Linked DNA regions of Drosophila melanogaster. The protein of the gene in region 2 interacts with the protein of the main gene of each other region in a pairwise test. Each region holds a gene or a part of one and is shown on either strand. Other genes may lie near its edges.

Evidence for each region.
Region 1: the proteins of CG2127 (region 2) and CG17666 interact in a two-hybrid assay, tested with the Drosophila melanogaster proteins (one large-scale study listed by BioGRID).
Region 3: the proteins of CG2127 (region 2) and NimC1 interact in a two-hybrid assay, tested with the Drosophila melanogaster proteins (one large-scale study listed by BioGRID).

The regions. Positions count from the first base shown.
Region 1 is NT_037436.4:12,779,476-12,783,230, forward strand, and holds the start of CG17666 (uncharacterized protein), read left to right. Parts: upstream 1-1,849; 5' UTR 1,850-1,986; coding exon 1,987-2,042; intron 2,043-2,099; coding exon 2,100-3,755. Other genes in the region: CG10969 (uncharacterized protein), read right to left, coding at 1-1,546.
Region 2 is NT_033778.4:8,368,001-8,371,755, reverse strand, and holds CG2127 (uncharacterized protein), read left to right. Parts: upstream 1-1,717; 5' UTR 1,718-1,835; coding exon 1,836-2,753; 3' UTR 2,754-3,412; downstream 3,413-3,755. Other genes in the region: CG8701 (uncharacterized protein), read right to left, coding at 1-504.
Region 3 is NT_033779.5:13,974,530-13,978,284, reverse strand, and holds the start of NimC1 (nimrod C1), read left to right. Parts: upstream 1-2,030; 5' UTR 2,031-2,088; coding exon 2,089-2,307; intron 2,308-2,405; coding exon 2,406-3,755. Other genes in the region: Cyp28a5 (cytochrome P450 28a5), read right to left, coding at 1-90, 178-282, 347-593, 738-925.

The DNA.
Region 1 (3,755 bases), on a different chromosome or scaffold from region 2:
GTTCCTCTGCCAGTACATCAATAAACTGAGTTTCTGGCGCCCAACGTGGGACGTCAGTGGCATTTTGGGACAGCACATGCATCTGTCGCACTCTTGTGGCTCCACACGCGCTATTCAACTGCAGTTGCACTTGTGCAATCTGCGCCTGAGCCTCGAGCATTTGCTTTCTTAGCTCCTCGGCCAGCATTTCGGTCAGGCCATAGTTGTTCTCCTCAATGCCTTGCTGTTGCATTTGTTGTTCCATTTGATCACAGGTATTCACTTGCTGAAGCTGCTGACAAGGATACACATTCTGCATCTGCGGCAGAACTTGCTGCTGCATCGACTGCTGCAAATTGTATGCAAATGCTTTGCCAGACTGCTGCTGCTCCTGACACTTGAGACATCCTTTTGGTTTCACATTGGGACAGGGTGGATTTCGTCCACAATTTCGTTGCTGTTGCTGGAAGCAAGATGGTTGCTGCTGCAAGCAAGATGGTTTCTGCTGCAAGCAAGATGGTTTCTGCTGCAAGCAAGATGGTTTCTGTTGAAAGCACGGTTGTTGCTGTTGAAAGCAAGGTTGTTGCTGCTGAGGACAAGATCGTTGCTGTCCAAACCAATTACCATTCTGTTGCTGCGGACAACCCGTGCACTTATTGCACCTCGAAATCGATGGCGGTTCGTTGTTCATGTTATCATTTTCACAATCGAGGCTGAGGAAATGTGCTTCGGTAACCTGGCAAGCGGTGACTATTTCCGCTTCACCCATAATTTGGTGTTCCTCATCGCATATGGTCACGATATTTCCGCAATTGGGGACGTCGGATTGAAACCATTGGCAAGTACCAGGACGATGTCGTGTGGGATACTCTCCTCGAAAGCAGGGAATTATCTTCGAGTTCGATGGCTTCGGTTCCGTTTCTGGTATACATTCTGTGGGCTTTTCTTCCTCTATTATAAAATTGGTTTTCGTTTCCGGTTTCAAGTTCTCATGCGTTTCCGGGATTGAATTATTTGTGTCTTTCACTTCTGTTTGCTTGTTTTCTTCGGTCAAACTCGGAACTCCGGAAGGTATCTTTTCGAACTCTTTTTCTCTGGCCTTGGCGACGGATGCCTCACTAACCAGCTCTGGTATCTTATTGAACTCTTCTTCCCTGCTTTTTGCCTTCACTGTGGGGGATTCATTGCGACGTTTGGCTGAGGCCATCATAGACTGACCAGGAGTCTTTGAATTGGGTGGATCTCCTCCCAACACTGGTTTCACCGGCATACCCGCCTTCAATCGAACCGATGCCTTGGGCTTACTGTGCGACATCAATGGCACAAACTCTGGACTTCCCATCGATCTGCAGACACTTGCCTGCCGGCGACGACGAGGTGTTGGTGGGCAGGATGATCGGGAACGCACGGCTTCCTGTCCAGACGGTAAGCTCTGAGCCAGGGCTCGCACCAGCTGCTGTCCGACTCGATTGCTGTATTGCTCCGATGCTATGTTCCTCCTCGGAGGAGGACTCGCATGACGCCAATAGGGACTGGGCCTGGTTGACTTGACTCCGTCATTGGGCATTTCTTCTTTTTTCCCAAATACAATTTTTTGTCTCAGTTATACAATGCTTCCGTTTAAATTTGTTTTTTGGCGTGACAAAGAATTTTGTAATGTCATTTTTTTGACCAAAACTAAAAAGAGAGTTTTGGTCGACATAAATAGTAAGTTAAATAAACCAAGGAAGTCTTTTTGTTTACAAGGTTTCTCTTATATTCATATCATATTATAATCTGTAAAGAACACATATATGAAGATGGTAGCACCACTTTCAAAACGTTGTTTTATCACAACTGATCATGCAATGATTTTAACAATATAGTCTTAGTTTAGGACATCAAAAATATAAATTGTACCATTTACTTCTACTTTTTTATGATTTTGACTACCGATGTTATGTTTGTGTACTCTTCGTAATTGACCATGAGTGAAGGTGGACTTTTAAACAGAACCAGGAGTTGAAAATGTGCGATCCATGTCGATATTTAAGGAGGTGCATAAGCTGCCATGGCAATGGCTGGTAAGTATAAGAATATAGTTAGTGTCTCAACCCAATTGCATTTATACTCATCCGCAGGTGCTGTCCTCGACCAAGTTGCTGTGAGCGATCTTGTTCCTCTAATATGAGGAATTGTCGCGTCGTGTTTTCTGGGGAGTTCCAAAAGTTTTCGGACATGGTGCCGCCCAGTTTTCTTCTAAAGACGCCAGAGCGCCCAAAGAAAAGGAAACGATCGAAAAGTTGCTCAGCCTGTGGGGACAATTGTAAGGATCCGTGTTTAAACATGGATGCATGTGCGGAGAGTTGTGAGAATCCATGTCAAGATGGTAAGAATGGATGCAAGAATCCTGAAGATTGCGCGCAAGACGATCTAGCTAGAACTGGAGCCTACGGAACAGGCTTTGGCTTCCAACCGGGACAACCGACTATTATTCCGTGTTATGGAACTTACGGACCGACAGGAAATCCAATGATTTTTGGTATCCCGCCACCGACTCAATATGGAGGCTTTGGTGTACCTGGTCCCATAGTTCTACCAGTGGCTCCACCATCCTCGGTAGGTCAGGGTGATCCAAGATCTATTCCAGCGGCAGGTCTACCCACACAGTACACAAATAAGTTTAATCCCTGTACCGGAGAAGTCTACCAATGCGGAGATCGCCAAATGCCACCTGGAAGGCCACAAGGAACGGCGCAAGTACCTTCCTATAATCAATTTATACAGGGTTTAGGCATGAGCTGTGCCCCCAATAGTCAGTATATTCCATTCGATGCAACATTCCAACAACGTCCAATAAATCAAATGCCAGTCACTCCTACCTCAGGAGGAAGTGCACCAGCTTATGGCCGAAATAATCAACCAATGAACTGTGAGCCCAACAATCAGAATTATAGCTATACTGTTCCCCAATCAACGAATCAAGTTCATGTTGGTGCTAACAGATCTGAAGTCTATAACCAGCAGAGTCAAGCCACACATTCAAGGCCAGTTCCCCAATTGGAGTCATCAAAGGGGCAACTGCCTCATGGTAACAACAGATCTAAATCTCCAAATCAACGAAGCCCATCTAGGGGAGATCGATCAGGCAGAGCTTATGCCAATAATAATTTTCCTGAAAATGTTCATGCTAGTCCAGGTGCTCAGAGGTCCAAGTCGCTCAGTCACCGAAATGAGTCGAGGGAAGGTCGTTCCGGAAAACCACAAGCCAGTAGAGCCACAACCAATTATCATTCTAATAGTGGTGGAGATAGAAATGTAGATCATAGGTCCGCGCCCAAGTCAATGGCATCCGCTGGTGAAGTGCGTTCTCGTGATAACAACAGATCGTACGATTCAAGAAATCGTAATAAATCTGTAGGAGCACCTACCAATCGACAACCCGTACTTTATGACCAGCAGAGGGTGGGCATGGGCATTGATCCATCCAATCAGTATTATCCGTACAATGAATGCGCTCCACTTAATGCCACATTTGTCCAAGACCATAATCCTTTTTATGCTCAGCCAGGACATGACGTGAATAGAACGCAAGCAGCAAGTGCACCAAACTTATCGAAGGCAGGACCCAAAAAGGATAAAAATTCGAATAAAGTTCCATCAAGCTTTAAACCATCGAAGGAGAAATCCACTAAATGCTGCTGCACTCGGTTCGATCCCAACAATCAATACTATCCTCATTACGTTTCCGAAGAATCTGATTGTCCACCGGAAGAAAATGTGAACTCTGGAAAAAA
Region 2 (3,755 bases):
CATCTTGATTCTAGGGCAGGGTCCTCCCTCCGTGGGGCATTCGACATTCGTGGGACACTCGGCGGATGTCACGAACTTCTTGCGCTTGCGCCTTGGGATCGGCGGACGAATTCCCGCCTCGTAGCAGCAGATCTTCTTGGGCTTTATCTTTATGGGCGGACACTCCACCCAGGTGACCTGGTACTTGCGCGTGGCCTTGTCAGAGATCTTGTAGTAGCATTGGTCGTACGGGGGGAACCGTTCCGCGCAGGGATCGGTGCAGCACTCCGGCGGCTGCTTCACCAGATGATGGAACTGGAAGCCGTCCTCCTTCTTCGGCGGTGGTTTCTTCGCGAACCGGGGGTCTCCACAAGCGGTAAAATTACCGCAACCCTTTCCAGAACTGTCACTGCACTTTGGAGATGGATTGTGGTCCTTTGCGAAAGCGCGATGGCAGACCACGCTCGCAAAGCTGGGTATTACTCGATTTTGGGTTTTCGTTCCAATACTGCGCCACATAGACATGGCTGGATACGGGCTGATATAAATTTCTCGGGGGGGAAAGAAAGGTATCGCTAAATACAACAATCCCGAAACAAAAATGAAAATCCCTCGGCACCGAAAAATGACCAAACTACAAATTTGTAACCGAATACACAATCAGCTCAACGGAGCCGATGTGAATTTTGGAAGAGGCCGAGAGGAACTGGCATACAAAGTTATTCGACATGGCTACATCGCATCGAAGTAAATTTCAAGGCATCCTTTTCAGAATATTATTATATAGAAAGAGGAAATACTCTGTTAGCGCAGAGTACTCCATATTTATACATAAAAGAAAAAAAACCCTACAGTCGTTTTCTCCGTAAATCACATACCACTTATTCTGCTAGTACGAAAATTGTGACGAAATAGATTTACAATTGGTCAAAAATAAACTGAAATCCAAATAAAAACAAGAGCCATTACTCAGCAACATGGGTCAACTTCCGCTGCGTCAATGTCTCTAGAATCTGTATGCTAAACCTTATAGCTTTTATAGTTCCTGAGATCGAGACGTTCATATGGACAGACGGACATGGCCAGACCGACTCGGCTATTGAGTCTGATTAAAGTATATATATTACTTTATGGGGCCGGAAACGCTTCCATCTGATTGTTACATACATTTTTAAACGAATCTAGTATACCCATTTACTCTAAATATAATAATATAATATAAAATAAAATAAAAAGTATAATAAAATTTTCTTCAGCACTTAGGTCGCGAAAAGTATTTGGAGACAGGTTCTGCGGCAAATTCTACCAAAACCATTTTGTGCTGCGCTAACGTCTTTAGAGTCTGGTTGGTCAATCCAACCTGCATACCTTTTTAAGTGCCCGACATGGCCTGATTGGGAATGAACATGTATATAGAGTCGGAAATGCATCCTTCTGCCATTTACTTACGTTTCATCGTATTTAGTATACTCTACTAGTAGCGGGTACGATAATACCATTCCCACAAGTTTGCAAAACTTCATAGATTTTACTATAAATTCTCTAAGATATTTAAAATATGTATATCTTAAGTTATATACTCGTTTCCCTGAAAAGCAAATTGAGATGAGGAAGAGGAACCCTCACAAAAGTGGGGAAAAAAAAGGCACTGCAACTGGTACAACAGGTGTAGCTTAGATATATCTAGAGGTCTTTTAGAATTTGTATTCCAAATTTCCTATAAAGTATGCTGTGAATGCCCACTCCGAGCTGAGGATGTCGGGTTTTAGTTAGTCTACACTCAGTCCTTGGCCTAACATAACATATTTTCGACTATTTTCGGCTTTGTAAAACAAAATTTGGTAAAAAGGTTCAATATGTTGCGAATGTTGCGTCAGAAATGTCGTTCCCTCGTAGATCGGAGCATGCCGTGCCTGGAGTCTTTGGTAAATGCCTGTTCTCTATTCAAGGTCGATTGGTCCAAGAATCTGAGCCAAATCAAAACCCCGGCCGACTGCGTTGGCTCCAGTGTGCTCCGGCAGCACCTGTTACGCCGCAACTACAGCAGTCAGTCTTCCGCCGATGATTGCGGGCGGCCAAAGGATTGCGATCAGGTATCGACCTCCAAGGGCTGTGGTCCTGCTCGGTTCAAGGGCACCATTTGCGATGCAGTCAAGGGCGGTAAGCGCAAGAAGAAGGAAGAGCCCAAGAAGGAAAAGTCCAACAAGCCGAAGCTGCCAGCAAAGATGAGGTCCATGTGGTATATACCCGACTGCGAGTACGTGCCAAAGTGCGATGTGCCAGTGCGGTACGACATCCAGCACTACCGCATATCGGACAAAGAGGCCCGCCAGTACCAGGTGACGTGGAACGAGTGCCCCCGGTTGGTGATCAAGCCCAAGAAGGTGTGCATCCACGCAAAGCGACCGCGTCCGAAGCCCTGCCGCCGTCAGCGGAAGACGGTGGTGGCCACAGCCCGTCCCACGATGCCCATGCTTAATCCCATGGAGTGCAAGAAGGCAGAGGACTCCTCACCCTGTCCGCGCTGGACTCTTCCCTGCTGCAAGCCCGCCCGTATTCCGCCCAGTTGCCACCGAGAACGCCGACCTACCGACTGTACCAAGCGCCCGGCGCCGTATCCCAGCTTCTCAGAATGCAAGCGGGAGGAGCTCACTAACGCACCACCTACAGAGTGCCTATGCCTTCGAGTTCCCATGGCCTGCGAGATGTGGGCGGAGCTGAGGCGAAGGATCGCCCGTGGCAAGGGGGCAGTCCTTAAGTGTGGCGAAACGTAGGCGGCGGCGAAAGCACAGTCATTCGACATCTGGCCACAACATTCCGGTCACTTTTCCAACTCACAATCCACCAAAATTACAGTTTTCCAAAATAGCCAATTCATTCCATTCGCACTCCACAATCCACAATCCACAATCCACACTTTCCAAATTCAAAATGCTGTTAAAACGCTGCGGGAAAACCCTAATGCCAGTCGTCGTCCGATTGGCCAGCTGTGCCAGCTCCAAGGGCGGCACCTCGGACTCCAAGTGCAACTCCAATTCGAAGGATAAATGCAAGCCGGAGCCCAGCTGCAAGCGCTCCGCGAAGAGGAAGAACTGCTCCAAGGTCCCAACACCATTCCCGAGCTACTCGGAGTGCAAGCGAAAACAGACTGACCCTAATCCTTCCAAGGAGTGCGATTGCTGGGACTTTGACAAGTGCTGATCCCCGGCAATTTGGATACCGGAGCTCCGGGGATGTCTCTCGCTTATGGCCCTCCCACATTTTCATTCCATAAGACTGAGGACTCTGTACTCATAATCCCGTTGGTGGCACTGGGAGCCTAGGTGTTTTGTCCATGTCCAACCTTTGCAGTTATCCTGGACGCCTATTATAAAGCTTTAATCCACGTCAAACTGACCGACGTTGAACGAAATACAAGAACTAAAAAAGTTTCAATCATTGATTTTTAATTAACTGGATGGGCAATAGGGTTCCATCAAAGATATTAGAATTTCTAGTGCCTTCGGTTCCATACTCGAATCGATATTTAATAATTCCATATTTAAGCTGCTAATGCAACATCATTTATGTACTAAGGAGTTTAATTTGCAGGCGGCGACCGATTGGTCCCGAAAGGCATATTCTTGTTACTTTTTTAATTTTTGAAAAAATAGTTTTCCGATAATCCGAAAACCACATGGGTATTCGACAGATCGAGTAGGCAAACCGTCGACAATCACCAAAAACCATGTGCGTATTTGAAAGATCGAATTTTAAATCTATCTAGTAAGCCCTGC
Region 3 (3,755 bases), on a different chromosome or scaffold from region 2:
CATTATGGGTGTGGGCTTATCCGAAAAGCTTTCAGCGCCCAGACCCAAAACACAATCGGTGACCATCTCTGTTGTGAAGCAGAGACTCATCTGTGGACGATAAAGTAGCAAAAAAAAAAAAAAAACAGGTTTGGTTTCATAGAATACGTACAACAGATAGTATAGATGGAATCTTACGTGCTTGGCATCGATGCCGTCTTTAGAACCCAGACGCAATTGCTTCTCCACCCACTCGGTCAACTTTTGGCACACCTTGTTTGTCACCGGATAGACTGTCTTTATCTGTAATTATGTATATTGGTTGGATCAGTACTTTTCGGGCTTGCCACTGGATGAACTGCCTCACCCGTCCCATCGTAAGACCAGGCGTTACGTCCGCCCTTCGAGTTTTCCACTTTTCGCCAGTTAACGAGAACGGATTGTTGGCGAAAATGAAATCGGTTTTCTCGTCAATATTCTTGGCGATCTCATTGTCGTGGAAGTTCTTAAAGTTGGACACAAAGACTCGACGCGCCAACGCGGGATTGATCACCAGCAGCTGTGGAGAGCGGCTGCCAAAAATGCCCACAGCATCGTACTTGTTCTTATACTGCCTGAATAAAATGATCGCATTAAATTCAAGTAAAGCGTAATTTTTTAAATGCGTTTTAAGAATGGTTCTTGGTTTCTTTGTGAAACAGTTGATGATCCATTGAATTTTGGTAGTTAATATAACCTTTCTAGCTGGGATAACTCACCTGTATATATCGTCTAGATCGTAGATTGCATGCCGCTTCATAGTAAACATGTTTGGATAGTTTCCGCACAATAGCTTTGGCTTGGGACCAGGAACGCCCCGTTTCCTCCAATAGTCATAGTTCCATACCAGCACGGCATACAGCAGGCCCACCACCAACGAAACCAGGGTCAAAGTAATCAGAACCATTTTCGATCGCTCTAAAATCTACGTCCACGCGCGACGAGTTCTAAACGGCGTCTGTTGTGGAATCAGATACTCTGCTCTATTTGTAGCTGCTCATTGAATTTGGGAGAGGTATTCAACAGTGTGGAATCACCGAGATACCTGAGTGAGTGCTCTGGGAGAGTAAACTACTCACACTTTCACCATAAACAGTTCTAACATATAAATGATAAGAGCTAATCATTATTGCAGGCGGTCGTCAATCGTCATATCAAGCAATTATTATTTATTTACGGTCTTGTTCTTTGTAGAAAAAAGCAATAACATTTGATGTTGCAACTCGACTAGCCGCAATGAAATTAACCATTTAGAATAAATTTAAGTATCTTTAGTAACCTAGGGCATATTTGAATGGCTGATGAAATATATACAGTAGTTGAAGGAAACATTATAGCGTTTGCTTCTGTCTTACATATTTTGCTTGCAATATTGGGATAAACAAATGCTCAGATAATCCCAAGCGGTTTATATGTATAGGTCTAGATTGTCGAGTCCTCAACGGATGTAGCTGATTTTGGAGCAACATGAAATATATAAATTTACATTTGCAGCTCAGTTGAATTTGAAACGTTGCGCCGAACTCATTTACATAGAGATCAAAGCTGAATTTTACAAGATTTCTGCTCTTTCCATAATGTCACACATCCAATGCCTTTGGGTGTGTCTGGGTTTTTTTATGCTACTCGTCGACTTCATTCAACCCATCGGCTTGAATGTTTGTAACCGATCGCAGGTGGTTACTTACAAGAGATATGTCGAAAGGAGTAGAGTGATACCATACCAGCATAGATCTTTCTGGAGTGGTTGGCAGACAAAATACCGCACCGAGTATTATACAGACGAAGAGGTAAATACAAAACTTTGAGTAAAATATAAATGGGGAACGGAACTAGTCTCCCTAAAGCTAATAATACAAATAATTATAAAATACTAAAAGATTCCTATGTACAAAGCAAACGAAGATATAGTGTGCTCGTTATCTGGAATTCATTAAAAATCCAAGAGAAAAGAACATTACATTAATTGAGGGTCCAGTTCTGTTTAATTCATCGGACAGACTGGTTGCTTTAAGATAGTGAATATATATATGGTATATACTTCAGGAAACGAATTGACTCGCATTACTCATGGATTTTACTGCATTTTCACTGCATTTTGTGTGTCTGTCATTGTCCTTTGGCACAAGTTTCGCCATTTTACGGCATGGCCTAAATGATTGCAGTCACCCGGAAAGCGTTCCGTATAACCGTAAGGTTCTTAAAAGTAAATTGGTTCCGTTTCAACAGTATTCATACTTTCATGGTTGGGTTACTAAGTACAGGCATCAATATGTCTATGAAGATGAGGTAATTCGAATTTGTACATAATTTATATTATTATTTATAGCTTTGGTAAGTGTGTAGTTAAAGTTTCCTTTAAAGAGGCTTTTTCTCCTGTTCTCTAGACTGCCTACAGGACCGTAATGAGACCCAGTTGCTGTGAGGGCTACGAAGGATCCGTTGAGAACTGCAAACCTGTCTGCAGACAACAGTGTCCTCAACATGGATTCTGCTCGTCCCCCAATACTTGCAGTTGCAATGCGGGCTACGGCGGTATCGACTGCCATCCCGTTTGCCCAACGGTATGTGGAAAAAACGAGTTTTGCGATCGCCCCGGAGTCTGTAGCTGCCAAAATGGCTACAAACGAACTTCTCCCAGCGACAATTGCCTTCCAGTTTGCGAAAAGGAATGTGGACACCATAGCTTTTGCTCGGAGCCCGGGAAATGCGAATGTGAACCTGGGTACGAGAAAGTGGGAAACGGCACCGTCTTTCCAGATGGATACAAGAACAATTCAAATGGCAATTGCTCGCCCATTTGCCCAAAGGATTGTGGCCAAAACAGCCGATGTGTGAGGCCAGGTGTGTGCGAGTGTGAAAATGGATATGCCGGTGACGACGGAGGCACCAATTGCCGACCCGTGTGCTCCACTTGCCCGGAGAACGGATTATGCTTGAGTCCCGGCGTTTGTGTCTGCAAGCCGGGCTACGTAATGAGAAATGATCTCTGCCAGCCGCATTGCGAAAAGTGCTCGGATAACGCACACTGCGTGGCGCCCAACCAATGCGAGTGCTTTCCGGGCTATGAGTCGTCGGGGGCGGACAAGAAGTGCGTACCCAAGTGCAGCAAGGGATGTACCAACGGCTTTTGCTTTGCACCGGAGACTTGTGTTTGCAGTATTGGCTATCAAATGGGTCCCAATCAAGTCTGTGAGCCAAAATGCAGCCTAAACTGTGTTCATGGCAAGTGCACCAGTCCAGAAACCTGTACCTGCGATCCGGGTTATCGCTTCAAGGACAACTCCCATCACGAATGCGATCCTATTTGCGACAGTGGCTGCAGCAACGGACACTGTGTGGCACCCAATTTTTGTATATGCCACGATGGCTATCAGCTCAATAGCACAAATCCTGTCACTTCTATGTGTCAGCCGATCTGCAAAGGCTGCCAATTCGGAGACTGTGTGGCACCGAATGTGTGCGAGTGCAACGTGGGCTATGAGAATATTAACGGACTATGCGAGTTACAAACCACGACGGACTCCTATGAATACAGCACCACAACTGTGGAGTTGCAATCATCAACTGTAGACCCTCAACTGCAGACATCAACCAGCGAGGTTCCGCACTCAAATTGCACTGCCGGTTGCATGTGCTGGATTGAATACGATGGGATGGGTACTTTCAATACAGCCAAGTGTGCCAAGATCTGTGTTGATCCCCAGGACAAGCCGTGCCTCAATTTGGACAATTGC